Linked DNA regions of Arabidopsis thaliana. The protein of the gene in region 4 interacts with the protein of the main gene of each other region in a pairwise test. Each region holds a gene or a part of one and is shown on either strand. Other genes may lie near its edges.

Region 1 (7,902 bases), about 17 Mb from region 4:
ACTTTAAATTTGAATATTAAACATCTTCATATTAAAAATAGAGTCATTTGGAAATATTATTAATAAAACTATTTATAAAATTAAATAGTACAGAATTTATAAAATGTAATATCATATAATTTATCCATATATGGCACGCATTCTTACCTAGTTTATCCTTAAATTATCAAGAAAAAAACAAATTTAAAAATATTTTCTACATTTATGTTAATAAGTAAATTTTACTTAAGTTAGGAAACATAGTATCAAATTTCTTATTTTACTTAAGTTAGGTTTTGAAGAATTAACCTCGATTTGTATCTATCGTGTTTTTAAAAAATGAAAATTGACATTTATCCTTAAATTTATAAGATATATTTGTAAATTGTATTGTTCTCATTAGTATACCCTAATCACTTTTCTATCTCTCTATAAATACCTGTAAATCTCATTCTAAAATAAAGTCAATACATTTAGCCTCTATATGGTACCAAAGCTTACAATTCTAAATGGTATAAAGAATATATATGATATATTGTGAAAATGTTGGTGCCACTTACCTCGGTACCAATCCGGTTTTCTATTCTCGAATGAACCATATATATAGCACTTAATTCAAGCTGGAATGCTTCAGATTACTCATGTCTCCATTGGTGATCAGTTAGCAAATACATTCACTAAATCTTTAGCGAAATCAATATTTCAAAAAAAAAGTTCCAAAATTAGAGCTACACGAGTACTTCCATACTAAAAGGACGTATAAAGAATATACATGTAAACCATATTGTTATATCCTAATCATTTTTTTCTATCTCTTAAATACTTGTAAATCTTAATTCTAATAAAGTTAATGTATTCGGCCTCTATAAAATTTTATTTTATATATACTTAATAAGTTATTTTCATACTCCATATGTTTCTTTTATTTGATTTTCTAGAAAAAAAATGTTTCAAAAAGATTAATTTTATAGGTTTTCAATACAATACTTATTAGTTATAATTGATAAATTGTAAACTTCAATAAAAATTATTGAATATTATTGGTTTAAAGTTATTAAAAATTTTAAATTATAAAAAATAGTACATTTAAAAAACAAGATTTAATATGTCTTTTTTTAATATTTATGTTTTTCCTAAAAAATCAAATAAAAAGAAATATTAAAAATATTATTTTCCTTTTTTTATTATTTTTCTTTTCAAATATCTATTTTCTAAATCCATATTATGTTTTTCTTTTATAAATAATCTCATTTCGCCATGGAGAACACGAGTAATTCTCCTGGTGTATGCCTAAAAAAAAAAGCAAAGATTATAATATGAGTATATATAATTATATATGACGTAACCTGCGAGATGTTGAATTGTCCACATTGTAATTGTCACGAACACTTAATTAAATCTTGCGAAAAAGAGATCTCAAAAATATCGCGAGAAAAAGAAAAAAAGGATAATATGAGAAAAGCCAAACGAAGAGTGCATCGAAAGCTGAGAGCGACATAATAAAGGAGAGAGAAAAATGTGGGGACCAGACTGGACGTGTGCACAGAATATTCACACTATTTGAATTTTGTTTTCGAATCCGCCACTCTATCTCCAAATCAACTTATCACTCAATTTGATAATAACTTAACCTACCTCTCTTATAAGGAAGCCTACTTATCACCGACGAAGACTCCGCTTATATCTGATAAGTCGGTAGAACGATGTCTCTGTGCAAAGAAGAACGCGTCCAAGAAAGCGAGGTCTAAAGTTTCTCAATCCCCCAATCTTCTCCTCCTTCTTTATATATTCTCTCTCTCTCTCTCCATTTTTCTCTAAAAGCTAGAGCTCTTCAAAACCCTAGAAATCCTCGAAATCAGAGTCTTTACCTGGGCTCGTGTCTTCAGAGCTCGGATTCGTGTTTCTTTCGTCGTCTCTCTTCTTCGTTTCTCGTCAGATTTGAGATTCGTTGAGAATGTCGTCGTTGAGTCGAGAGTTGGTGTTTCTGATACTTCAATTTCTGGAGGAAGAGAAATTTAAGGAATCTGTGCACAGGTTAGTCTATTTATATGGTTTGTTTTGTGTTGTGTTGTGAGAGGCTGAATTTTGGGATTGACTGATTTGTAATTTGTTAAATATAGGCTTGAGAAAGAGTCAGGATTCTTCTTCAATACCAAGTATTTTGATGAGAAAGTTCTAGCTGGAGAATGGGATGATGTTGAGACGTATTTGTCAGGTTTTACTAAGGTTGATGATAACAGATACTCTATGAAGATTTTCTTTGAAATTAGGAAGCAGAAGTATCTCGAGGCTCTTGATCGGTATGATTATAAGCTGTCTTATTTGTTTTTTTACTCTTGAAGATTTGTGGTTTTAGAGTTTGATGTTCTCTGTTGTTACAGGCAAGAGAAGGCAAAAGCAGTTGAGATACTAGTGCAAGATTTGAGAGTTTTCTCCACTTTCAATGAGGAGCTTTACAAAGAAATCACTCAACTCTTAACTTTGCAAAACTTTAGGTATGATATATTGAATTTTGATCTCTCCTTGTTGATGTTTCTGTTGTTATGGAAAGTAGGAATATGAGACTTGGTTTAGGTTCAGTCCAAGTCGAGTTCGTGATGCTTTGTAGACTGTTTTTGTTTGGATGTGAAAGAGGGTGTGATACTCGAGTTTCTCTCTCGATTGTTTGCGTTTTGTGGATTGAAATTTGACATCAATGATTTTCATGAATCTGCAGGGAAAATGAGCAGCTTTCAAAATATGGAGACACTAAAACTGCTCGGGGCATAATGCTAGGCGAACTTAAAAAACTAATTGAAGCGAATCCACTTTTTCGTGATAAATTGATGTTCCCTACTTTGAGATCTTCGAGACTGCGGACTCTGATTAATCAAAGGTGTGTTTCTTTTTTCTTTCCTCATGACCATTCTGTATGTTGCAGATGAGGTTTGGATGACTTCGTTGTTGGATGATTCATTGTGCATATGTTCTCTTGCAGCCTCAATTGGCAGCACCAGTTGTGCAAGAATCCTAGGCCAAACCCAGATATTAAAACTCTATTCACAGACCACACTTGCACACTTCCGAATGGTCCTCTCGCACCTTCAGCAGTCAATCAGCCTGTTACTACTTTGACGAAGCCAGCAGCTTATCCGTCACTTGGACCTCATGTTGTAAGAAACCTCGATGTTTGACTGCTTTAATCATGTTTTTTGAATCTAAATTAATCTTAATGTTTGTGGAATCTGTATTACATGTAGCCCTTTCCACCTGGTCCTGCTGCTGCTAATGCTGGTGCTTTAGCTAGTTGGATGGCTGCTGCCTCTGGTGCTTCTGCTGTCCAAGCTGCCGTTGTTACACCTGCCTTGATGCCTCAACCTCAGAATCAAAGTTAGTTTTTGACGATCCTCTAGATTTCTAATCCTCGACTTATCAATAACTATCATTTCAGTTTCCATCAAAAACTTATTATTTTTCTTCCAAAAAGTGTCAATCTTGAAGCGACCAAGAACACCACCAGCAACTCCAGGTATAGTAGATTATCAGAATCCTGATCATGAACTAATGAAGCGTCTCCGCCCTGCTCCATCTGTGGAGGAGGTAACGCGAATTCTTTTCTTTTTCTGGAAAGCTGTTTATATAATTCTTGCATCTTCTCAAAATTCTAAGCATTTATCATTTTCCAGGTGACATATCCTGCTCCTAGGCAGCAAGCTCCATGGTCGCTGGAAGATTTGCCAACAAAGGCAGCTCTGGCGCTGCATCAAGGGTCCACTGTGACAAGCATGGAGTTCTACCCTATGCAAAACACGTTACTTCTTGGTATGGGGGTTTGAAAAAAAGAATACAAATTCTAAACTGTGTTTGAAGTTATATTTCTGTTATCTCTTATTTGGCTTTCTGAATGACCGTTTGAATGCCATCAGTTGGATCTGCGACGGGAGAAATCACATTGTGGGAACTTGCCGCTCGAGAGAGGCTGGTTTCAAGGCCATTCAAGATATGGGATATGTCTAATTGCTCACATCAGTTTCAGGTTTGTCTTTACAGCTAAGAAGTTTTTAGTTTATGTGTTTGATGTATAAAGGCGGAATTCAACCAAATGGCTATGAGAAGTGTTGGAGATAAAACGTATCAGCAAACTAGTTGCTGTGCAAGATTCTTATACTTGCCTTTCTTTTGGCATCATTCAGGCTTTGATAGCTAAAGAAACACCGATATCTGTCACTCGCGTTGCATGGAGTCCGGATGGAAATTTCATTGGTAAGCTTCCCGTCATGCATTGTTGGATTTTAATTGTATGTTGTCTATGGTCTCTGGTCTCAGTCTCTTATTGTGCAGGGGTTGCGTTTACAAAACATCTAATTCAGTTGTACGCTTTCTCTGGACCTAATGATCTTCGCCAACATACTGAGGTAAGCATACTTGTGATCTGTACGAGAAATATTGCGATGTAATAATATCCCACTGAGACTAGATCACTTTTTCACAGATTGATGCCCATGTCGGTGCTGTGAACGACTTGGCTTTCGCCAATCCAAACAGACAACTATGTGTAATTACTTGCGGAGATGATAAATTAATCAAGGTGAGATAAAGAGTCACAAAGTTTCACTGTTAGATATCAATGCAGCTGGCTAACTTGATCAATGTGGAACAGGTATGGGATGTTTCTGGTCGGAAGCATTTTACTTTTGAAGGCCACGACGCTCCAGTTTATTCCATTTGCCCTCATTACAAAGAGAACATTCAGGTGCGGCAAGGATTGAATCAAACTATATTTTACATCAATTATTATACTGTTTTACCAATCCGTTTGAAGAACAATAAAGTAGACGACACATTTCATATAGTATTATCTTGCCTATGAATTTCTGTTCTTTACCAAAATACATCTCGTTCTTATTTGGATTTCAGTTCATATTTTCAACCGCCATAGATGGGAAAATAAAAGCCTGGCTTTATGATAATCTGGGTTCCAGAGTTGACTATGATGCTCCCGGTAAATGGTGTACGAGGATGCTTTACAGTGCTGATGGTACTAGGTAAGATCTTAAACTCATAAACATTTCCCTCTTCTATACCGCTTGTTCTTCACTCCTCAGTTTCCAAAATCTTCAGATTCTTTTGTTTACTCCGGAGGATACTGAGTTGTGTCCTTGAGTTTCTAATCTTATCTTTCTGTTTTAAGTTTACCTTTTCAGTGCTTTCTGATGTTTTTTCCCCCTTCAGATTGTTCTCTTGTGGAACGAGTAAAGATGGAGATTCTTTCCTAGTTGAGTGGAATGAAAGTGAAGGATCAATTAAAAGGACGTATAAAGAGTTTCAGAAAAAGTTGGCAGGTGTGGTTCAGTTCGATACCTCAAAAAACCATTTTCTGGCTGTTGGTGAAGATGGACAAATCAAATTTTGGGATATGAACAACATCAATGTTCTGACTAGCACTGATGCTGAGGGTGGACTTCCGGTAAGTCCCAAAGATTCTTTTTCCCATGGCTTGTTGCTTGGATGTTCGTCTTTTTAGGTTTGCATATAACTTGTCCCAACTTCAGGCTCTTCCCCATTTGAGATTTAACAAGGACGGCAATCTTCTAGCCGTTACTACGGCAGATAACGGATTTAAGATCCTAGCTAATCCAGCTGGTTTCCGATCTCTTCGAGCGATGGAAACTCCAGCTTCTGAAACGATGAGGACTCCAGTTGATTTCAAAGCTGTAATGTTTCTCAACTTTGTATTACATTTTTTCCCTTTTTTACATCCACTGTCATTACAAGCTGTCTCGGTTTACACACTTTGGTATATTCTGTTAGGTTCCTGGTGCTCCTGTTGCGTCTGTCAATTGTAAAGTTGAACGAGGCTCTCCTGTTAGACACTCACAAATGCTGGTAAAATCACTCATTAAATGCTATGTTTCTAGCCATTTCTATAATTTATTATTCTGTTCTGGATTTTCGGTTGTAAATGAAGTGAACTTCCATTTGTCGAAATTGTAGTTTACTATTCTCTGACTATAGTAGTTGACTGTTTCCGATTTTTTTGTCATGTTTAAAAAAAATATTTACTAATCTTTTTTTTCTGAATATCCTCAAGAATGGAGTTGATCCCTCAAAGTCGAGAATCGATGACTCAACAGACAAACCAAAATCTTGGCAATTAGCTGAAATCTTGGACCCTTCCCAGTGTTTCCAAGCTACTTTACCCGATACCGCTGGTTCTTCCACAAAGGTTTGTGCAGTTATCTTTCTCAGAAAGTTGTTGGATTTCTATAAATGTTTTGAAATTGAGGCTTAATTTTCTCATGCTGCGTGGGAAAGCAGGTTGTTCAGCTTCTGTATACGAATTCCGGTGCTGGAATCTTGGCACTAGGTTCCAATGGTATCCAGAGACTCTGGAAGTGGGTTCCCAATGAGCAGAACCCTAGTGGAAAGGTAATCGTAAAAAAGAGTTTGAGAGAGCTTAATGCATGCTGTCTGCGGTTTTAAAGAGTTAGAGATAGCTTAATGCATGCTGTGTGCGGTTTTATTTAAGTACTGTTTATTATGCAGGCAACTGCTACTGTTGTTCCTCAGCATTGGCAACCAAACAGTGGTCTTCTTATGACCAATGATGTGTCTGGTGTAAACCTTGAAAACGCTGCCCCATGCATCGCTCTCTCTAAGAACGACTCATATGTCATGTCTGCTGCTGGAGGAAAAGTCTCGTTGTTCAACATGATGACTTTTAAGGTATATATTATCTATATGAACTTAAAAAAAGCCACAAGATTTCTAACTGAAAATGTTCTCACACTAATCTAGTAAACTCTTTTGGTTGTTCTAATTTCCACAAAAAAACTATTGGCCTTATAGGTGATGACAACATTCATGCCGCCTCCACCAGCATCAACGTTTTTGGCGTTCCATCCTCAGGACAATAACGTCATCGCCATTGGAATGGAAGACTCTACGATTCACATCTATAATGTCCGAGTGGATGAGGTAAGTAGTTTCTAGTACTAACCATTGCCACTTATGTAGTCTTTTTGATCTATGACAAGGAAAAACTTGTGAACCTTACGTTTTTTGAAGAAATGGTTCTCATAGCTTCACATATGTTTTACAGTTTAATTTTCCCCTCACTGCTAATGTTGCCTTAAAACTCTATCAACGATCTGAAACTTGCATATTGTGTTCCATCAGGTCAAATCAAAGCTAAAGGGTCACCAGAAACGCATCACAGGCCTAGCATTTTCTACAGCCCTCAACATCTTGGTTTCATCTGGTGCTGATGCACAGGTGTGTTATGCTGCGTCTTGTTGTTGTTGTTGTTGTCCTGTAGTAAATATATCTCAACTGAAGGGAAAAATGCTTGATTATTTTGTGTTGTTTCCTTGCTGGATTTTCTACCATTAGACTTATCTAATCTAGGAGGATACTTATTCTTCCTGTTGTCTTCTCTTAGATCTGCTTTTGGAGCATTGACACATGGGAGAAGAGGAAATCCGTTGCAATACAAATGCCAGCAGGAAAAGCCGCCAATGGAGACACGCGGGTTCAGTTTCATGTGGATCAGTTGCGTATTCTGGTAGTCCACGAGACACAACTGGCGGTATTTGATGCTTCCAAGATGGAATGTATCCGACAGGTATCTATGACTATGATGAGATCATCTCTGTAAATCCACTTATATAAAATGGATCATCTCTGACCTGGCATGTATATATGAAATGCAAGGTCATATATACATATTCTTAATCATTATTTTGAAATTTGTAATGACTTATGTTCTCTTGTTTTCATGTCTCAGTGGATTCCACAAGACTCGCTGTCTGCTCCTATATCTTCAGCGGTGTACGCATGCAACAGCCAGCTGATCTACACCACTTTCCGCGATGGTAACATTGGAGTATTTGACGCGGACAGTCTCAGATTAAGATGTCGTATCTCTCCATCCGCCTACTTGCC
Region 2 (4,179 bases), on a different chromosome or scaffold from region 4:
AAGAATGACACATCAATAGATAGATCTGGGAACAACATCGAGATAATCTCATATTTGGATCAGACAAGACAAGATTTTGTACCTTTTGTCGGACGAGCTACCCTTCTGGCTCAGGAAGGATCTGAATAGACCAGAGTTCACATCATAGATCATCTTCACTCAACTATCTCGTAAGCTTCGATTACCGGAAGAAGGGGAAGATCTGGACAAAATCGATGAAACGGAAGCAGTTTTTTTTTTTTATATAGCTTTTTCGATCTCAGAATTTTGCTTTAGTGGCTGCTACAAGATACGAGTATAACCCTAAGTTTGCACATTCCAACCTTTTTATATTGTCTGGATACGTACTTGAGCCACTTTGGATCATTCTCTGTTTCGGCCTTTTCTCTTTTTATGGCCCAAATCCACCGAACATAACGATTTCTGAATTGGCACGAATTTTTTGCCCTTTGATGAAAGAAAAATCTCGATGGGTTTATCAAAAATAAGAATCAAGAAAAAGAAAATCAAAATCTCTCAACTGCAAGGACCAAGAAGTTGGCGTTTTTGGGTGCAGAAAAACGACACAGCGTGTTACTAATCAATGCCAAAATATTTTACATATGAAACAAAGAAAAGAGAGAAAAGCTTCTTAAATCTTAATCCGAGTCACTAAGGTAAAGTTCTCATGAGAGTAGGGTAACGAGGGAAACGAATTCAAGGGTAACTCTTCCCTTTGATCTCGTGTTGATGACGAAATGCTCCGGGTATTTTCTCAGCAGCATCAGCAAACCGTACCATGGTTTACCTTTTGCTTCAGGGATAGCCCAGTCTTCTTGTGATAGGTATCTTCTTACTCGACTGTGATGCCATACGTTTCCATACTCCTTTAATATCTGTCACAGACCAACCACTACCATGCATTAGCCATCATATTGAATCACAAAGAAGTTCATAGTCAGACTACACTAGTCATTCAAAATCTATGGAGTAACTGACATACTTTCTAGACTTAGACACATATAAGTAGCGTAGCGCGTTTCCATTGGAAAACTAATTAAGGACCTAGCTTCACACTAATTATCACCTTGACATTATACAAGTCTTGTTTCAATTGATTACTCGTACTACATTCTGTATTAGAAAAAGGCAAGGAACTTTCTCATAAAAACTAACCACCGAATGAAGTTTTTCCATAGGCATCCACTCTCCCGGACCACACAAATCGGAAAGCACAGTGGCAACAGACGATACAACATCTTTTTCCTCCAGCTGCAAAAATTGTTGATCATCAGCTTCACGATCTACCTTTGATCTTCCCTCTCTCTTCTTCTCTGCACAAATGAAGCAGATACAATGTCGTGGTGTCACTAGCATTCAAATTCAATCCAAGTCTAACAAGGTTCAATCAGCAACCACCACAATCAAAGTCTAAAGAAACAAGCCTGATGTGATCAAGTAAGCATCATAATCTGAAACATATCTAGTTGCACAATGAAAACTCAAACAATCATGAGCAATCTGGTTTTACCTCCGGAAGCATATACTACTTCATGTCCATCTCTCCTTGTTTTCTTTCCACTTCCTCTCATATCGTCCTCCTCATCGTCGTCGTCATCATCATCTTCATCATCGTACTCATACAACTCTCTACTCCTGACGCCCTTCTTACCCGACCCAGAACCTGGACCCGACTGATAATTATGGTATGGAACAACACTTGTTTGCCCAGAGACGTGGTGCCTAGGTCCCAACGGCCCGCCTAAGATGCTCCGAACCGGTAGGAGAAAGTAGAACTCTTTGTCTCCGATCTGCAAAAGGTCTTGTGAATCGAGCTTGACGTTAGGATTCCCAGGGAGATGAAGAACACCTTCAACGAGGCAGCCATTTTTGCCAAGGACCTCGAGAGAGAAGCGTCGTCTAGTGAAGTCATAGAAGATCCGAGCGTGGTTGCGCGAGATGTTCATCCCACCGCCGAGGGATGAGAGATCAACGTCGACGGTGGCTTTCTTAGAATTCCGGCCGAGTATAATGGAGTAAGACTGCATATAGTACTCGAAATCCTCACCTTGAAGCTTCGCAAATCCAACCTCCACATCGCTTCCGCCACCAACAGCCGTAGCCATGCCGTGAAATTCTCCGATTTGATCGAAAGAGGAACCGGGACTTCCAAATTAGGGATTGCAATCGTAATAATTTGTGAATCGAAGCAAGATTTGTTTGGAAACTGGTTTAGCTTATCCAGGACAAAGGCTTATTTTGTGAAATTGACGATTATACCCATGATTTTAAGACCTGAATAAAAACCCTAATGACACAACTATTTAAAACAGCCGAAGAAACATTGAGAATGGCGGCGAGATCTGTGAGCTTAAAGGTTCCATCTCTCCCGCAAATAGTGGAGCATCTTATTGATTGTTTGAATTTTTTGATTTCGTTTGCTTTAGAACATAGGCTTGGTTAGTTTTATGTAACCTTTTGTTTATTTTCGTTGTTGGTTTGATTGAATAAGTTGCCAAATGATGATTGAAAATTTTGCGCAAGGGTTTTGAGTTTCGGATGATTGGAGTTTACTCTGGTCTGAAGGAACCGTGACAAAATTATTTTCTAATAATTCATTCTGATGGCAGCTCAATCATTGTTAGATATATCAAATTTCAATTCGAGTTTTGGGTGCATGGTTTGATTCGGATGGTTAATTGTAGTTTGTTTTGTTAGTAGAAGCTTGGTTTTGGGGCAGCTTAATGAATTTTAGGATTCAAGTTTTCAAATCATTTAGCCTATAATGTTCTGAAATGTGTTGTGTAATGGCTTTGATTTCCTGAGGATCTGACTATAGAATGTTTAAAATCCTGAGGAACGGTGGGAAATCATGTATTTGTGTTTCTTTTTTTTTTTAAGATTCAGGTTCTACAAATTATGCTTAAAGGGCTTTGAGCTCCTGACCGCTTGTATTATGAGATCCAAGAAAATGTGAAAAGTCGTTTTTTTTTCCTTTCCCATTTTGATGGTTTGGGTTGCATTTTACTGTTCTTTTAGTTATCATGACTATGCTAGATTCTGGTCTGGACATAAGTTGCTTAAGATGTGTGGAAATTATGCGTAATGGATTTAGAATTGGCAATTTGTTATTTGAAGGAATTCACTTCTATAGATATCCTTTAATGGCACCCGTTCATGGTCAGCTCCAAATATGCAAGAAATCGGAAAATGCATTAGTGTAGTCCTCTTTTCTGGTATATTGTCAATACTCAAATCTTACATAAACTTTGTTTCAAGGACAATGAAGCATGTGGTCAAGATTTTGAGCCTGCTGGTAGCTGTCTCTGCCTTTTAGTTTGCTCTCTTGCAGGCTGCAATTATGGCTCGTAGCCAAACATAGTTGGTTAGTAATGAGTCTGTTGTGCTCATTTTTGCTTATTGCTATTCTCAGTTAGTCAATATTAATAATGTATATCTTTGCACCAGCTACCTATATACGTTGTAGTGTCCTTTGCTATTAATTGTTGGAATCGGTTTAGTGCAGTTCCCTACCTCTCCTAAAGAAGCAGTTTTTCTGCAGCGGGTACTTTCAGTACTCTTTTCTTTCTTTGTTAACTCGAATTGTTAATTAAGGTTAAATTAAGTTCTTGACTAGTGCTTTTGCTCCTAGCTGTTGTTAATGTTGATTATGTACTAGTTTGTTTTGGTGCTATTGTTATATTGCAGGATATTGCAGATGCAAAAAGACTTCTTAAGCGCTAACGGAATTGATGTTGGATCGGATTTGACACATTATGGTTTACTTCTTTTCAACTCCCTAACCAGTGTAATAGAATACTTGGAGTCTTCGATGGTTCATAGAAAGAGTTCCCATTTTCATTATGTACAGTCGTTTACTATGTTTTTTTGAGAGATGTACATTGAGAAACCGGTGTTTGCAATTGGATTTTGTTTTGGGGTTTTAAACATGATGAAGAACAATGTTATTCTGATAAGTTCACTTTAATTGACTTTTTTTTTTGGAATATCGTTTGTTACATTTTTTCTCGTGTATACAATAAGTTGTGAATCCAACTCTTTCAAGTTTAAACTACTTGAGATTAACTTAAATGCTCCAATAAAATTGATTGAATTGGATTTTCTAGTTTTGTTTGTTTTGAAGTAAAAAGTTGGACTTGAATGCTGATAAGTGATAATAAATTGACTTGCAACCATAAC
Region 3 (7,760 bases), on a different chromosome or scaffold from region 4:
CCCCCACACAAACAAAACAATAATAAATCGGAAAAGATCTAAAACCCCCACAAAAAAAACAGAGTAAGAAACTGAAGCAGATCATCTCTGAGGCTGGTCAGAGGCAGAAGCTCCAACGGAAGGTGTAGCCGTGACAGCGCTGGCTGAGCCATTTTCAGGCGGTGGAGCTACTCCCCATTTACCTTCTGACTCAAGCGGCTCGAATATATGGACCCCTCCGTCTGACAGACCCACTGCAAACATGTTGGATTCTTGCGGATGAGCCGCTATCACCAGTGGATGGACATTCGAGTTGCTGCACAAAACATCAACATGAAGACTCAAGATTCATGATCCAACATTGCACTAGTTTATATTCATTTCATTAACTCACCTGAGAGAAGCTGGCAAATATGCAGAGGGATTGACTCTGCAACGCAATCGAAGGTTTGCAGAGCTGAAGACGCATATTGTAGCGTCCATGAAACTTGTGTATATCAATTGGCTATCACATGAGAATGTGGCATGTGTTATTGGAGCTGCTGATTCACGCACAGGCCACTGGAATCAAAATAAAGACATTTCTTTCTTCTATAAGGGTTACTCAGATGCAAGGAGAGAGAATGAACATATATAAAGACTAAAACCTGTTTCATGCATTCAAGCTTGGTTGTTTCGTATATAGCGAGCTGAGTTTCATGGACCACAAGGAAGTGTACTTGATCTTGATGAAACTGAACACGCGTGTCTGACAAAGAAGACGTGGATCTTCCCTGTGGAATTTGCAGAACCTTGCTTTTCTGCTTCTCCCATCCATCCGTGTTCCATACGCAAAGCTGCATACAAAAACCAAAAGATTCACACTAAGACTTCTAAGGATTTGGATTCTTTATTACAAAACATGAGATGAATCAGCACCTGAGCGTCTGCTCCAGACGAAACCAGAACGTTTAATACATTGGAGAAAGCGAGGCCGGTTATTCTCTTAGAATGTCCTTTAAGCTTGCTCTTAACCTCATCAACACGAACATTGTAAATCTGTATTGTACTGTCATCCATCCCGATCGCAATGATATTGTTATCTTGAGGGTGAAAAGCAAGAAACGTTGCGGCAGGAGGAGGCGGCATGAAAGTAGCCATTGTCTGCGCTTAGCCAACAACACAATTAAATGTAACAGATGAAGCATTGTTTGCATACATTAGACATAGTGCTGTCTGTAGCTGGGATTTTACCTTAAACGTCATCATATTAAACAAAGAGATCTTTCCTCCCGATGCTGACATCACGTAGGAATCATTTTTCGATAAAGCAAAACAGGGTACGGCTTCTTCTGGATTAGTTTCAGCCACATCGTTTGTCATTAAGATCCCGCTCGCTGGTTGCCACTGCTGAGGAGGTAAAGAAGCCGTTGCCTACACAAAATCTCAAATTGAATTTCATCATGATTTCAACTCTTTTGGCGATCTTAAAGGAAGATTTTAGACCATAAGTACCTTCCCAGTTGCATTACGGTCATTTCGCTGCCACTTCCATAGCAGATGAATAGCATTTGATGCCAATGCCAAAATTGCATTTCCCGAATTTGTGAAAATCAATCTCGATATCTGCTCAAGTTTTGAGTCATTAGAATCAAGCCATATAAGTACAGTTATGTCAGTCTATGTGTTAGTACCTTGGTGACTCTCATATTCTCAGGGAGTCTCAATGAACGGCACTGAGAGGGTTCGCCGACTTCAGTAAGCTTCCATACCTTAGACTTATCATTTGATTCTTCGGTAATCACTGGCTTCACATCCACCATATTCCGCGAATCTCCATTCTGTTGGAAAGGTAAGTGATCAACAACGATGATTGGACCCAGACCAAGAGATAGAGAAACTGACGGAAAAAGTATCGATTTTCGTACCATTCCAGGGATGGAAACGACAGAGGCAGGTCTCTCTACCATCGGAATGCTGTTGATTGCAGGCTGCAAATGTACATGAAAAATAAAGTGTTGAAGAAATTTCAAATTGGGGGTTAGTAATTTGCTTGTTGAAGATCCAGTGAGCACAAAATTCAGTACCTTGGAGGATTCAGAAGATAAGTTCTCGACTGTGTGCAATAGCCTTAGACCATCTGAGTTTGCCATAACCTTAATCATATTGTCATTTGCGGAAACAGCCAAGAGAGAGCCTTCCTTGTTAAATCTGATCCGTGGACTTGCCTACAAAACATAGAGAGCCATGATGGCTGCAAATGAAAACATTCGGTTCCCAGGGAGAATCGAGGTATTTGTTTGCATACCTGGAGACCTCCATCAGCATCAATGGCAGTCAAAAGCTGTATGGTGTCCATATCCCAGAACTTAATGGAGAAGTCGTCACCCGCAGCGAGATAACGGTTTTTAGTAGTATCAAACTGGACAACACCAAGGGAACGCTTGTGGAATCCTTGATAAGTTCTCTTCACAGCTCCTTCGCTTTCATTCCACTCAACTATGAACGATTCCCCATCTTTACTCGTCCCACAAGAAAATAGCCTATCCATGTGAATATAATAAAAAATAGATTTTAAATTTATTATCACTTCATGACGATACAGAACAGAACCACAACATAAAGATGATGAGAATCATGTTATAACCTAGTTCCATCAGCACTGTAGGCCATCGTTGTACACCAGCGACCAGGAGCTTCGTAGTCAACCCGAGAACCCATATTATCATATAACCATGCTTTTATTTTTCCGTCAAGAGCAGTTGAAAAGATAAACTTAAGCAGAAGAAGAAATAAACAAGTCAAAACCAAATAGAAACGAATTTCAACTTGTACTTAGCAAAAATGAAACCGTATAAATATTGCTACTTTACCTGAATGTTTTCCTTGTAGTGAGGGCAGATAGAGTAAACAGGAGCTTCATGGCCTTCAAAAGTATACCGTTTTACACCCGTTGCAGCATCCCAGACCTTAATTCACAGAATTGATTAGTCTGTTTTTAGAGTTCCAACAAAAAAAAAAAAAAACAAGAGTTAAGGAAATGAAAGAAGAAAAAAAATACTGAACCTTGATGGTTTTGTCATCACCACAAGTAGTAACACATAGTTGCTTGTTCGGAGTGGAAAATGCAATGTCATTGACACCGCCAACATGAGCATCAATCTGAAATAATAAAAAATGATTTTCATTACAGGAAATGAAAGAAATACTCCTAAAATGTTGTTGTAAACTATATCACACCTCAAGGTGTTGCCTCATGTCTTCACCACCGTGATAAGAGTATAGCTGTACAATATGTCTCGAATAAGCAACTCCTGCAGTTGAAAACGTGCGCATATGAATACTCAAATCGGTTGAAAGAGCATTTGTAATCTCAAGTCTTACCGAATAGGGAACCGTCCGGGCTCCAAATCACACGGTTGACAGAAACGACAGGTTCTTTCACCAAAGCAGCCTATAAAGACCAGAATTGTTGGTCACTGAAGTTTCAAATAGATATTAGATATTAATATTCTGGTTGATTTTCACAAAAGAAGACACCTGCAAGGGCATCGAACATTTACTCAAGTCCCAAACTTTGAAAGTCTTCTGGACTAGACGTTCTCGAGAACCGACTTCCCAGAGCCCAATATCCCCTACATTCGTACCAACTGGAACAAAGAAAATTGAAGCAAGAAACTTCTGGTTTTACAAAATTTCTGATGATGTATGTTACATGAAATATGCATACAGACCAAGAAACAGACCTAGTAGCAGAGTCTGTTTAATAGGATGGAAATCCATGCTCATGGGAGATGAGCCTTGGCTCAAAGTTCGTGCAACTGTCTTGGGCAAGTCATCAGGTGCTTTGAAGGTTTGATTATGACCATGAGCCTGCCCCGGGAATGTCATTGGTAACATGTTCACACCTAGACTCACCTACATATGGGGAGAAAGAAGAAATACGTTTAAAGTCTAAACTAGTACTACCAATTATGTAAAATTGGTATTGATAAGAAAATATATAATATTAATTAAGATTTTTCTCACCTCGTCAGAGATTCCCATAGGTCTGGTTCGCTTTGAGACATGGTCTGAGTCACCTGATGGATAGTCTACAGCGGAATTAGAAGGAGGAGTTCTCGGGTGTTTCAAGGCTGCTAAGAACCAAAAAGGAGAACATGTTACATAGATCACAGGTGAAACTTAAAGGTTCTGAAAAAAAGGCGAGGATAAAATTTAAGACTATAGTTCCACACAGCTTTTATAAAGAAACACCACATTTGATAAGCAAATAACCTTGGATGGATGGAGCACCAAGAGCAATGGGTCCTCCAGACACAGCTGGATGTGGGACAGAGGAAGGACTAGACATCCAACCAGCAAGAGGTGTCGGAACCGGAGAAGGTGTTGGTTGAAAAGGCTAAAGACATAAAGGTAAGTCAAGCACGGCATGTAAAGGTAACTATAGAGCTAGAACCAAAAGCAGTAGAAATGGCACTTATAGAAAATACGAAAAATCAGGTGGAAATTGACCTACCCCGTGTGCGCCTAGAGGAGGAAATCCCTCGGCTTTTGGTAATGATCCAAGAAGCGGATTGTTGACAGGGGATGGTGCTCGTGCATCATTTGGTAGGCGGCAGGAATGATCGACAAAGAGAGTCTTAATATCAGGATTAGGCCTTGGGTTCTTACAAAGCTGGTGTTGCCAATTTAAGCTGCAGGTTTATGTAGCCACATAGAAACAAGGAGTTAAAGTAGCTGACAAGAAGAAAATTTGTTGAAGTGAACAAGAAAGGACAAAGAATACCTCTGATTAATCAGAGTCCTGAGGCGTGAAGTTCTAAGGGTAGGAAACTGCAATTTATCACGGAATAAAGGATTAGCTTCAATCAACTTCTTGAGTTCCACCAACATGATAGCTCTGGCGGACTTTGTGTCCCCATACTTGGATAACTGCTCGTTCTCCCTGAAGTTTTCTAAGGTCAAGAGCTGAGTGATTTCCTTGAAAAGCTCCTCATTAAAAGTGGAAAACACTTTCAAATCTTTGACTAAAATATCGACAGCCTTGGGACGATCATGCCTAGATAGAAGCAGCAGCAGGTGTGATTGATTGGCAATATGAAAACATTTGATTCTTGTTGTTGTTGAGAGACACAAGTTACCTATCCAAGGCCTCGAGATACTTCTGCTTCCTAATCTCGAAGAAAATCTTCATGGAGTATCGATTATCATCAACTTTAGTAAAACCAGAGAGATACTTCTCAACCTCATCCCAGTTACCATTGTGCACCTCATCCTCAAAATACTTCATATTGAAGAAAAACCCAGATTCTTGTTCAAGCCTAATTAATAATCAATCAAGTTAATAATAATGCCTAATAAAAGACAAAAAGGAAAAGAGAGATCGGACATACTTATGAACAGTCTCTTTAAACTTCTCTTCATCTAAAAACTGTAAGATCAAGAAGACGAGCTCTCTGCTCAGAGAAGACATGATTGATTTTGCCACTCAGTCCGATAAAGCTATCAAGTCAGATGCAGAAAAACCCACCAGATCTGCATATCAATATAATGGCGACGATGATAACCTTACAAAACCATCAAATCATCCCAATTTACTGGGTTTCAGATATTCCTCCATTTAATTATTATTTTTAAAAAATGAAAATAGACACAGCCTCTTAATTACACAGTATATAACTAGATCTTTACAACTATCCTCCGGAAAATTCTCCAAAAGTCTCTATTCCGGCGGATTTAATTAGTGTTTAATTGGGCTACACAAAAATTAGGTCTTCCTAGTATTATTATTGTCCACCGAATTAAATATAAAGCTTAAAATGGCCATCTTTTTCACTTCCATGAGACAAAAACAAAAATCAAAAACCCAGAAAAGCTACGATTTAGATATTAAACCAAAAATGAAAGACCTAGATACGTTACTTGCCATGAAGAAGAAGAAGACGATCGATTTCAGAAACAAAGGCCAGAGCTTCAGTTTCTCTCTCCTGATATTGAAAGAGGCCAAGGATTTGGGTTTTTTGGACTCTCCTCTCTCGACCAGAAAGTAAGAAAAAAACTAATGGAAAAAAAAAAAACAAGTTTTCTCTCTCTCTCTCTCTCTCTCTTCAGGCTTATTTATACGAACATTAAAATCTTGCAGAAATGGAGACTTTAATTTAAAACCAAAAAATAAAAAGTGATTTTAATATGCGAAGGTGACGGATAACGGAGTCTAATAAGACAATGCACCTATCACACGATAAGGGAGCTGATTTTGATAAGCACGTTGACTTATATATAAGTACAGATTAAAGTTTAAACCAGCATATACGACTTAGCCGGCTACAATTCTCGACGTTATCGGCTCAGAATCTCTAGCTGCTAGCTGTACTCCAAGTAGACATGATCCTCTGTGTCACAACATGAGTACACCCTCGGTGAGTGCCGTCGATCTTGTACGATGAACCTTAAAGGATATTCATCCAACGGTTTGAAAGCGAAGTAGCTGCGTCCCCACATTTCCCTCATAACACGACAAAGCTTTTCCTTCTGAAATGCATCTTTAAGTTCCATTGCCCTTGAAAATGACAAATATTTACCTAAATTGCCATTTTTATTCTTGAGATGCGGTACTCGTTGAACAAAAATCACGTGATTGAGAGATAATGGAAGAGGTTATCAGTTAAATTCTCCCGACATGATAACTCTTAAGCCTTCTCGTGATTTGGAGTCGTTAATAATTTAGTGAGACTCGTTTAATTTCTAATCATTTAACTGTTTTGGATTGTTTTTGTTAATCGCATAATGTGATGTGAGCTATATATATATTGACTATTGAGGATTATAATCGAATTTATTTACTCGATGACTAATAAAATGATTTTGTTTGTTTATTCACAGCGTAATTGGTATTTTCGTTATATATATTCGACGGTTTAATTACAATGAACCAATATGTTAATTTTATAATGTGTCTAGTGTTATTTTATATTGGTCTTTCAGACTTTGACAAGAAACATCGAGTTTGACGTCATTACCGTAAAGTATTTTGGCACCAAATGAAGATCAATATTATTTGTTTTAATTGCTCAAGAATGATGATGGTTGCTTTTGCTAAAGTTATGGGTGCACAAGAAAAGTATATAACTTTTGAAAAGCACATTTTTATTCTTTTAATTTACACGGTAACACGAGTATCTCTACTTTTCTAGTAATGCTTACACAGATTGATATCTTGATTATTTGGATATAAGTTCATTTGCCGATTTAGCTTGCTTTTTTATTCAAATACTGATTAACATGGAATGCAAGAAAAAGGAAAAAAAAACCTTCTTCTTGCCATGGCGAGTGAGAGGACTACTAAAAAGAATACAGTAATTCCAAACTGATAAATATGAGTTTTTACGTGTGGAAAAAAAAAATTTGAGTATTACCTTAGCTCTGCAAGATATATTAAGAATACAGCAAATAAAGAAGAAATCAAATAAGCATATTAGATTTGTTTTCACAAACTGAAAAATCCTCAAATACATAAAAAGAAAAACACATAAAAATCCAAACTAATAAATATGATTAATGATTCACTGATTTTCGCCTGAACTAAATTATGGTCGTAAGTTTTTTGTAAAAAATTGTTAAAAAAACAAAAACTGTCTTATCGAGACTTATAACAAATGATGAAAATCTGAAGAAATAATATATATTTTTCAAATAATTATGTGGTTTGACATGTCAACGTCTTTATTATCAATCAGAAGACAGTAAGGAACATTAACAATGAAAAGGGAAGTTATAAATTAAGATGTCAATATCAGACA
Region 4 (4,298 bases):
GCCGTTTCTGCGCCGTAGATATCTTGTCCACCGCTCGTCTCAGAGACTTTTCGGATATACGGAGAGACGAAGTGAGAGCTATGATTCGGAAGATCAACGTGGAACTGGTAACATCAGGAGGCAGTGTCAGATTGAAACTCCAGCCGTTTCTTTATGGGCTTACGTATAACATCCTAATGAGCATGGTCGCTGGAAAACGAGAGGAAGACGAGGAAACTAAGGAAGTTCGGAAGCTGATTAGGGAGGTGTTCGATTTCGCTGGTGTTAATTATGTCGGAGATTTTCTCCCGACTCTGAAGCTCTTTGATCTTGATGGATACAGAAAGAGAGCAAAGAAACTCGCTTCGAAATTGGACAAGTTTATGCAGAAATTAGTCGACGAGCATCGGAAAAACAGAGGAAAAGCAGAGCTTGAGAAAACGATGATCACTCGTTTGCTGTCTCTTCAAGAATCAGAACCTGAATGTTACACTGATGATATCATCAAAGGGCTCGTACAGGTACATGAGTTTTTAATTCCTATAATTTTGAATCGTTAATAGGAGTGATCAAGATTGATTCATCAAAGATTCAAAGGATTCATTGCAGGTGATGTTGCTTGCTGGAACGGACACAACCGCAGTGACGTTGGAGTGGGCTATGGCTAACCTTCTAAATCATCCGGAAGTTTTAAGGAAACTCAAAACGGAACTAAACGAGGTTTCGAAAGAAGGGCGTGTGTTTGAGGAATCAGATACTGGCAAGTGTCCCTATCTCAACAATGTGATCTCTGAGACTCTTCGTTTGTTTCCGGCGGCGCCCTTACTTGTCCCACACGCTTCATCCACTGACTGTGAAGTCGCTGGATTTGACATTCCACGTCGCACCTGGCTATTTATCAATGCGTGGGCTATTCAGAGAGACCCAAATGTATGGGATGACCCAGAAACTTTCAAACCAGAGAGGTTTGAATCAGAGACCCATCGTGGTAAGTTTCTGCCTTTCGGAATCGGTAGGAGAGCATGTCCTGGTATGGGCCTGGCCCAACTAGTACTGAGCTTAGCTTTAGGCTCATTGATCCAGTGTTTCGATTGGGAGAGAGACAATGACGTTGCCGTTGACATGTCGGAAGGAAAGGGTCTTACCATGCCCAAATCTGTGCCTTTAGTTGCCAAATGCAAGTCTTTACCAATCCTCGACAAACTTGTTCTTTAACTGGATCATTTATCTTTCACTTTGTGATACTTTGTGTATTAATTTGATCTATTATCATCATTAAGCGTAGTTATAAATAAAAATTTATTTTATTTTCCTGAATAGCTTAAGAGAAATTTGATCTTCGTCTTCGTCACTACGTCCCCAGCTCTCGAGCTTTGTTCACTCGATTTCCTCTATACATTTCCTTAAAACCCAAAATTCTTAAGCCTAATCCAAAGGAGAAAAAAACAGAGCATTTTTCTTCTTCTCCAATTTAAACAGTTTCCTAATAATCTCACTTTGTCTACTCGATTCTCCCAACTCCAATTTGACTCATCGGAATCATGCCATTATCAATGAATCCTCCGACGAATCCGCCACCATTGTTCCGTTGCATCTCCGTCATGTAACTCCTCACTTCCGCCTTAATCATCTCTTGCACCACCGCCATAAACTCGCCTCCGTTACCGGGAAAAGACTTCCCCATTTCCTCAATCGCACCTCTAAACCCACCACTAAACGGCATAAACGACACCGTATTGTTGTGGTTGTGGCGGCTCGAAGTGGTGTTGTTGATATTCGTTGACTCGTGGCTACGGTTTGACTCCTCGCTTACGTCGGCACCAGGAAGTGACAAGCTTAACGAAGTCGGTGGATCATCGGAAGAAGACGACGTTTCGATAGGAAGCGGTAGCACAACAGCACCAGGTCTAGGCACAGGCTTGAAAAGCTCAACGGAAGGTAATATCGGGATAGTACTTGAATCACTGACATCAGATCCAGTTGGGCTTCCTGGGCTCATGTAAAGCCCAGTAACAACAGGTGGAGATCCCGCACTCACCGATCTCTTAACCGGCCGATGATCCTCCGAACCATCGTAACCCCGATGGTCGTAACCGCCGCATTTCCTCTTGAGCGTCGAGTTCCAGTGATTCTTCACGGCGTTGTCCGTACGACCGTTGAGAAGACGAGCAATCGTCGCCCATTTATTACCGAACTGAGCGTGAGCACGTGCGATCGTCTCGTCTTCCTCAGCCGAAAACGGCCGATGCTCAACTTGCGGCGAAAGCTGGTTGCACCACCGTAAACGACACGATTTCCCCGATCTACCGGGAATAGATTTGCTAATCACTGTCCAGTTTCTTGGACCGTATTTAACAACAAGCCTACGAAGCTGCTCGTCTTCTTCAGGACTCCATGGACCTTTGATCCTATCAGCCATTGATTTTGGAATGTTTTATCAAACTTTAGCAATCTTCTCCTCTTTAGTGATTTTGGTTTTGAGAGATGAACCAAAAACAAGTTCGAGAAACTAAAGAGAGGACAAAATTATTTATACAGAGATTTAAGAGAGGAGGATAACCGGAAACCGGTTAAGACGGTGGAGAAGTCATGGGCAACGCTTCTTCCACGCAAGCGGTTTTTCAAAGTTTGCGGTACAGCTGTAAGTGGACACGCGTCGAAGCCTGACTACGTCGATGTGTCTTTTTTGTCGTTTTCGTAATAATTTTGTTCAAGATCAGCAATTTCGTATAGTTGAGCGTGGAGATCAGTCGAGTCTCAAAGTATGAGTTTGTGAGTACACGCGCCATTTAAGCGCGTGGCGAAAGTAAGAAGTTAAAGAGACAAAATCACGAAACCCAACTAGCAAAGCCATGATAATATTCGCACAATTTGAGGTGAATTTAAATTTTTTTATAGGGGAAATAAAAATGAAAAAGAAATATCTGAAGAAAAAAATAAAAAGATGATAACGGTTAGGTTTGGGTAAGGACAGTTTTTATTTATTTTTATGTTTAGTCTTGACTTTAGAATAGCGAAGCCAGGCTGTATAGCACTTCACATAAAAACTTTATGATAATATCTACTTTACATATAACCGATTTTCCGGGTTGAAAACTAATCAAAATTATTGACCACAAATTTCATTACTAATAAAGAAAACAAATTGTCACTAAGAAGGTATAATTAATTACTAAACAACACACAAACACCTAATTCATGCATATAACAGTGCATGACAAATTGACAATACTAAATCTATATATAGTTGCTCTATGATCATAAAAAGATCTAAACCTCAATAATTTGAAACGAAGCTGGATTAAAATGGGATTGACAAAGAACCGTGTGAGCGATATTAAGTGAATGTATAAAAATGGTTAGATATTAATGTTCGGTTTAGGAAACGTGATGTAAAATGTGCGGTTAACAAAAGATAGGAGGTTTTGACGTGGCAGAAAACGACAACATAGGTTGCCGAATTGGAACGCAAAATCATCACTGCCTTTGTTTCCTGAAATATATTTAATTATTATATCGAAAATACGAATAGAAACAGCCAGGCTGTATAAAACTTGTTAATCAAACAAAAACAATTAATAAAACACTAACTGTCATCCATTTAAGAACTGCCACGTGTCGGTCGTAAAACGCGGGTTTTTAAAAGCTCTTTGTTCTGGTATGTACGGTACGAATCAGGTCGGTAAACGTCAGGTAATGTTCATGCACGCTCCCTAACCTTCCCTCTAACGGTTCATAATTCTCCTTTTAATTAAACTATAGTATTGTTAGTTCTTAATAATTCAAGTTTTTACGTAACCCCACCAAACATTTGAATTTATACCTTTTGAGTTATATATCTACATTTTTGTCGATTTGTTGATAATCTATTAGACATCAGGAGTTTAATACTTTGAGTGAATTTGATAATTAATAATGCCAAGAGGTTATTGTGATGGGAACAATAAGCTCTAGATGTAACCTTGCGTAGTTATTATATTGGGTTTACGTGTTCGTTTGTGAGACTCAACTATACTACTATAACCTTGCTCGTTGTTTCTATTATCAATGGTCCGAGTGTCGGTTTTGGTCTCCTTGTTTTAAATATTTTATTGAAGTCGTTTTACAATTACCAACTTTTCCTTAAACCAAAAAATAGATCAATAATGGTTTTGATTGATGATATTGATGGTTGATTGACGGTGTCTTACTCACTCGAAGATTAGACAATTACCAAAACGATTTTATTCGTAGTCCACCAAAAAAACAAATCAACTGTGATCATTTTTCATATCTATTATAAATGACTACTATAGTATGACATTTTGAAAACATTTGTA

Evidence for each region.
Region 1: the proteins of MYBR1 (region 4) and TPR3 interact in a two-hybrid assay, tested with the Arabidopsis thaliana proteins (one study listed by BioGRID).
Region 2: the proteins of MYBR1 (region 4) and FHA2 interact in binary tests that used the Arabidopsis thaliana proteins (3 or more experiments, as listed by UniProt).
Region 3: the proteins of MYBR1 (region 4) and TPR1 interact in a two-hybrid assay, tested with the Arabidopsis thaliana proteins (one study listed by BioGRID).

The regions. Positions count from the first base shown.
Region 1 is NC_003076.8:9,509,295-9,517,196, reverse strand, and holds the start of TPR3 (TOPLESS-related 3), read left to right. Parts: upstream 1-1,789; 5' UTR 1,790-1,933; coding exon 1,934-2,013; intron 2,014-2,099; coding exon 2,100-2,279; intron 2,280-2,360; coding exon 2,361-2,474; intron 2,475-2,695; coding exon 2,696-2,854; intron 2,855-2,956; coding exon 2,957-3,131; intron 3,132-3,218; coding exon 3,219-3,348; intron 3,349-3,445; coding exon 3,446-3,558; intron 3,559-3,644; coding exon 3,645-3,780; intron 3,781-3,884; coding exon 3,885-3,994; intron 3,995-4,151; coding exon 4,152-4,373; intron 4,374-4,450; coding exon 4,451-4,546; intron 4,547-4,618; coding exon 4,619-4,711; intron 4,712-4,875; coding exon 4,876-5,003; intron 5,004-5,190; coding exon 5,191-5,425; intron 5,426-5,510; coding exon 5,511-5,672; intron 5,673-5,769; coding exon 5,770-5,844; intron 5,845-6,049; coding exon 6,050-6,184; intron 6,185-6,276; coding exon 6,277-6,387; intron 6,388-6,504; coding exon 6,505-6,684; intron 6,685-6,807; and 7 more. UniProt on the Arabidopsis thaliana protein: Transcriptional corepressor. Negative regulator of jasmonate responses.
Region 2 is NC_003074.8:2,295,894-2,300,072, reverse strand, and holds FHA2 (SMAD/FHA domain-containing protein), read right to left. Parts: upstream 2,188-4,179; 5' UTR 2,106-2,187; coding exon 1,511-2,105; intron 1,314-1,510; coding exon 1,156-1,313; intron 876-1,155; coding exon 666-875; 3' UTR 501-665; downstream 1-500. Other genes in the region: AT3G07230 (wound-responsive protein-like protein), read right to left, coding at 83-153. UniProt on the Arabidopsis thaliana protein: May play a role in the control of plant organ development and specifically in the regulation of stamen development. Does not show transactivation activity in yeast.
Region 3 is NC_003070.9:30,261,013-30,268,772, forward strand, and holds the start of TPR1 (TOPLESS-related 1), read right to left. Parts: upstream 6,114-7,760; 5' UTR 5,888-6,113; intron 5,529-5,887; exon of another isoform or gene 5,497-5,528; 5' UTR 5,435-5,496; coding exon 5,355-5,434; intron 5,283-5,354; coding exon 5,103-5,282; intron 5,021-5,102; coding exon 4,748-5,020; intron 4,656-4,747; coding exon 4,478-4,655; intron 4,361-4,477; coding exon 4,237-4,360; intron 4,098-4,236; coding exon 3,988-4,097; intron 3,877-3,987; coding exon 3,705-3,876; intron 3,609-3,704; coding exon 3,499-3,608; intron 3,413-3,498; coding exon 3,343-3,412; intron 3,273-3,342; coding exon 3,199-3,272; intron 3,121-3,198; coding exon 3,025-3,120; intron 2,928-3,024; coding exon 2,832-2,927; intron 2,734-2,831; coding exon 2,606-2,733; intron 2,502-2,605; coding exon 2,267-2,501; intron 2,187-2,266; coding exon 2,046-2,186; intron 1,950-2,045; coding exon 1,887-1,949; intron 1,800-1,886; coding exon 1,653-1,799; intron 1,585-1,652; coding exon 1,474-1,584; and 11 more. UniProt on the Arabidopsis thaliana protein: Transcriptional corepressor. Activates TIR-NB-LRR R protein-mediated immune responses through repression of negative regulators such as CNGC2/DND1. Negative regulator of jasmonate responses.
Region 4 is NC_003076.8:26,852,209-26,856,506, reverse strand, and holds MYBR1 (myb domain protein r1), read right to left. Parts: upstream 2,486-4,298; 5' UTR 2,399-2,485; coding exon 1,481-2,398; 3' UTR 1,195-1,480; coding exon of another isoform or gene 589-1,194; 3' UTR 501-588; downstream 1-500. Other genes in the region: CYP81G1 (cytochrome P450, family 81, subfamily G, polypeptide 1), read left to right, coding at 1-500, 589-1,194. UniProt on the Arabidopsis thaliana protein: Transcription factor. Represses the expression of protein phosphatases 2C in response to abscisic acid (ABA). Confers resistance to abiotic stresses dependent of ABA. In response to auxin, activates the transcription of the auxin-responsive gene IAA19.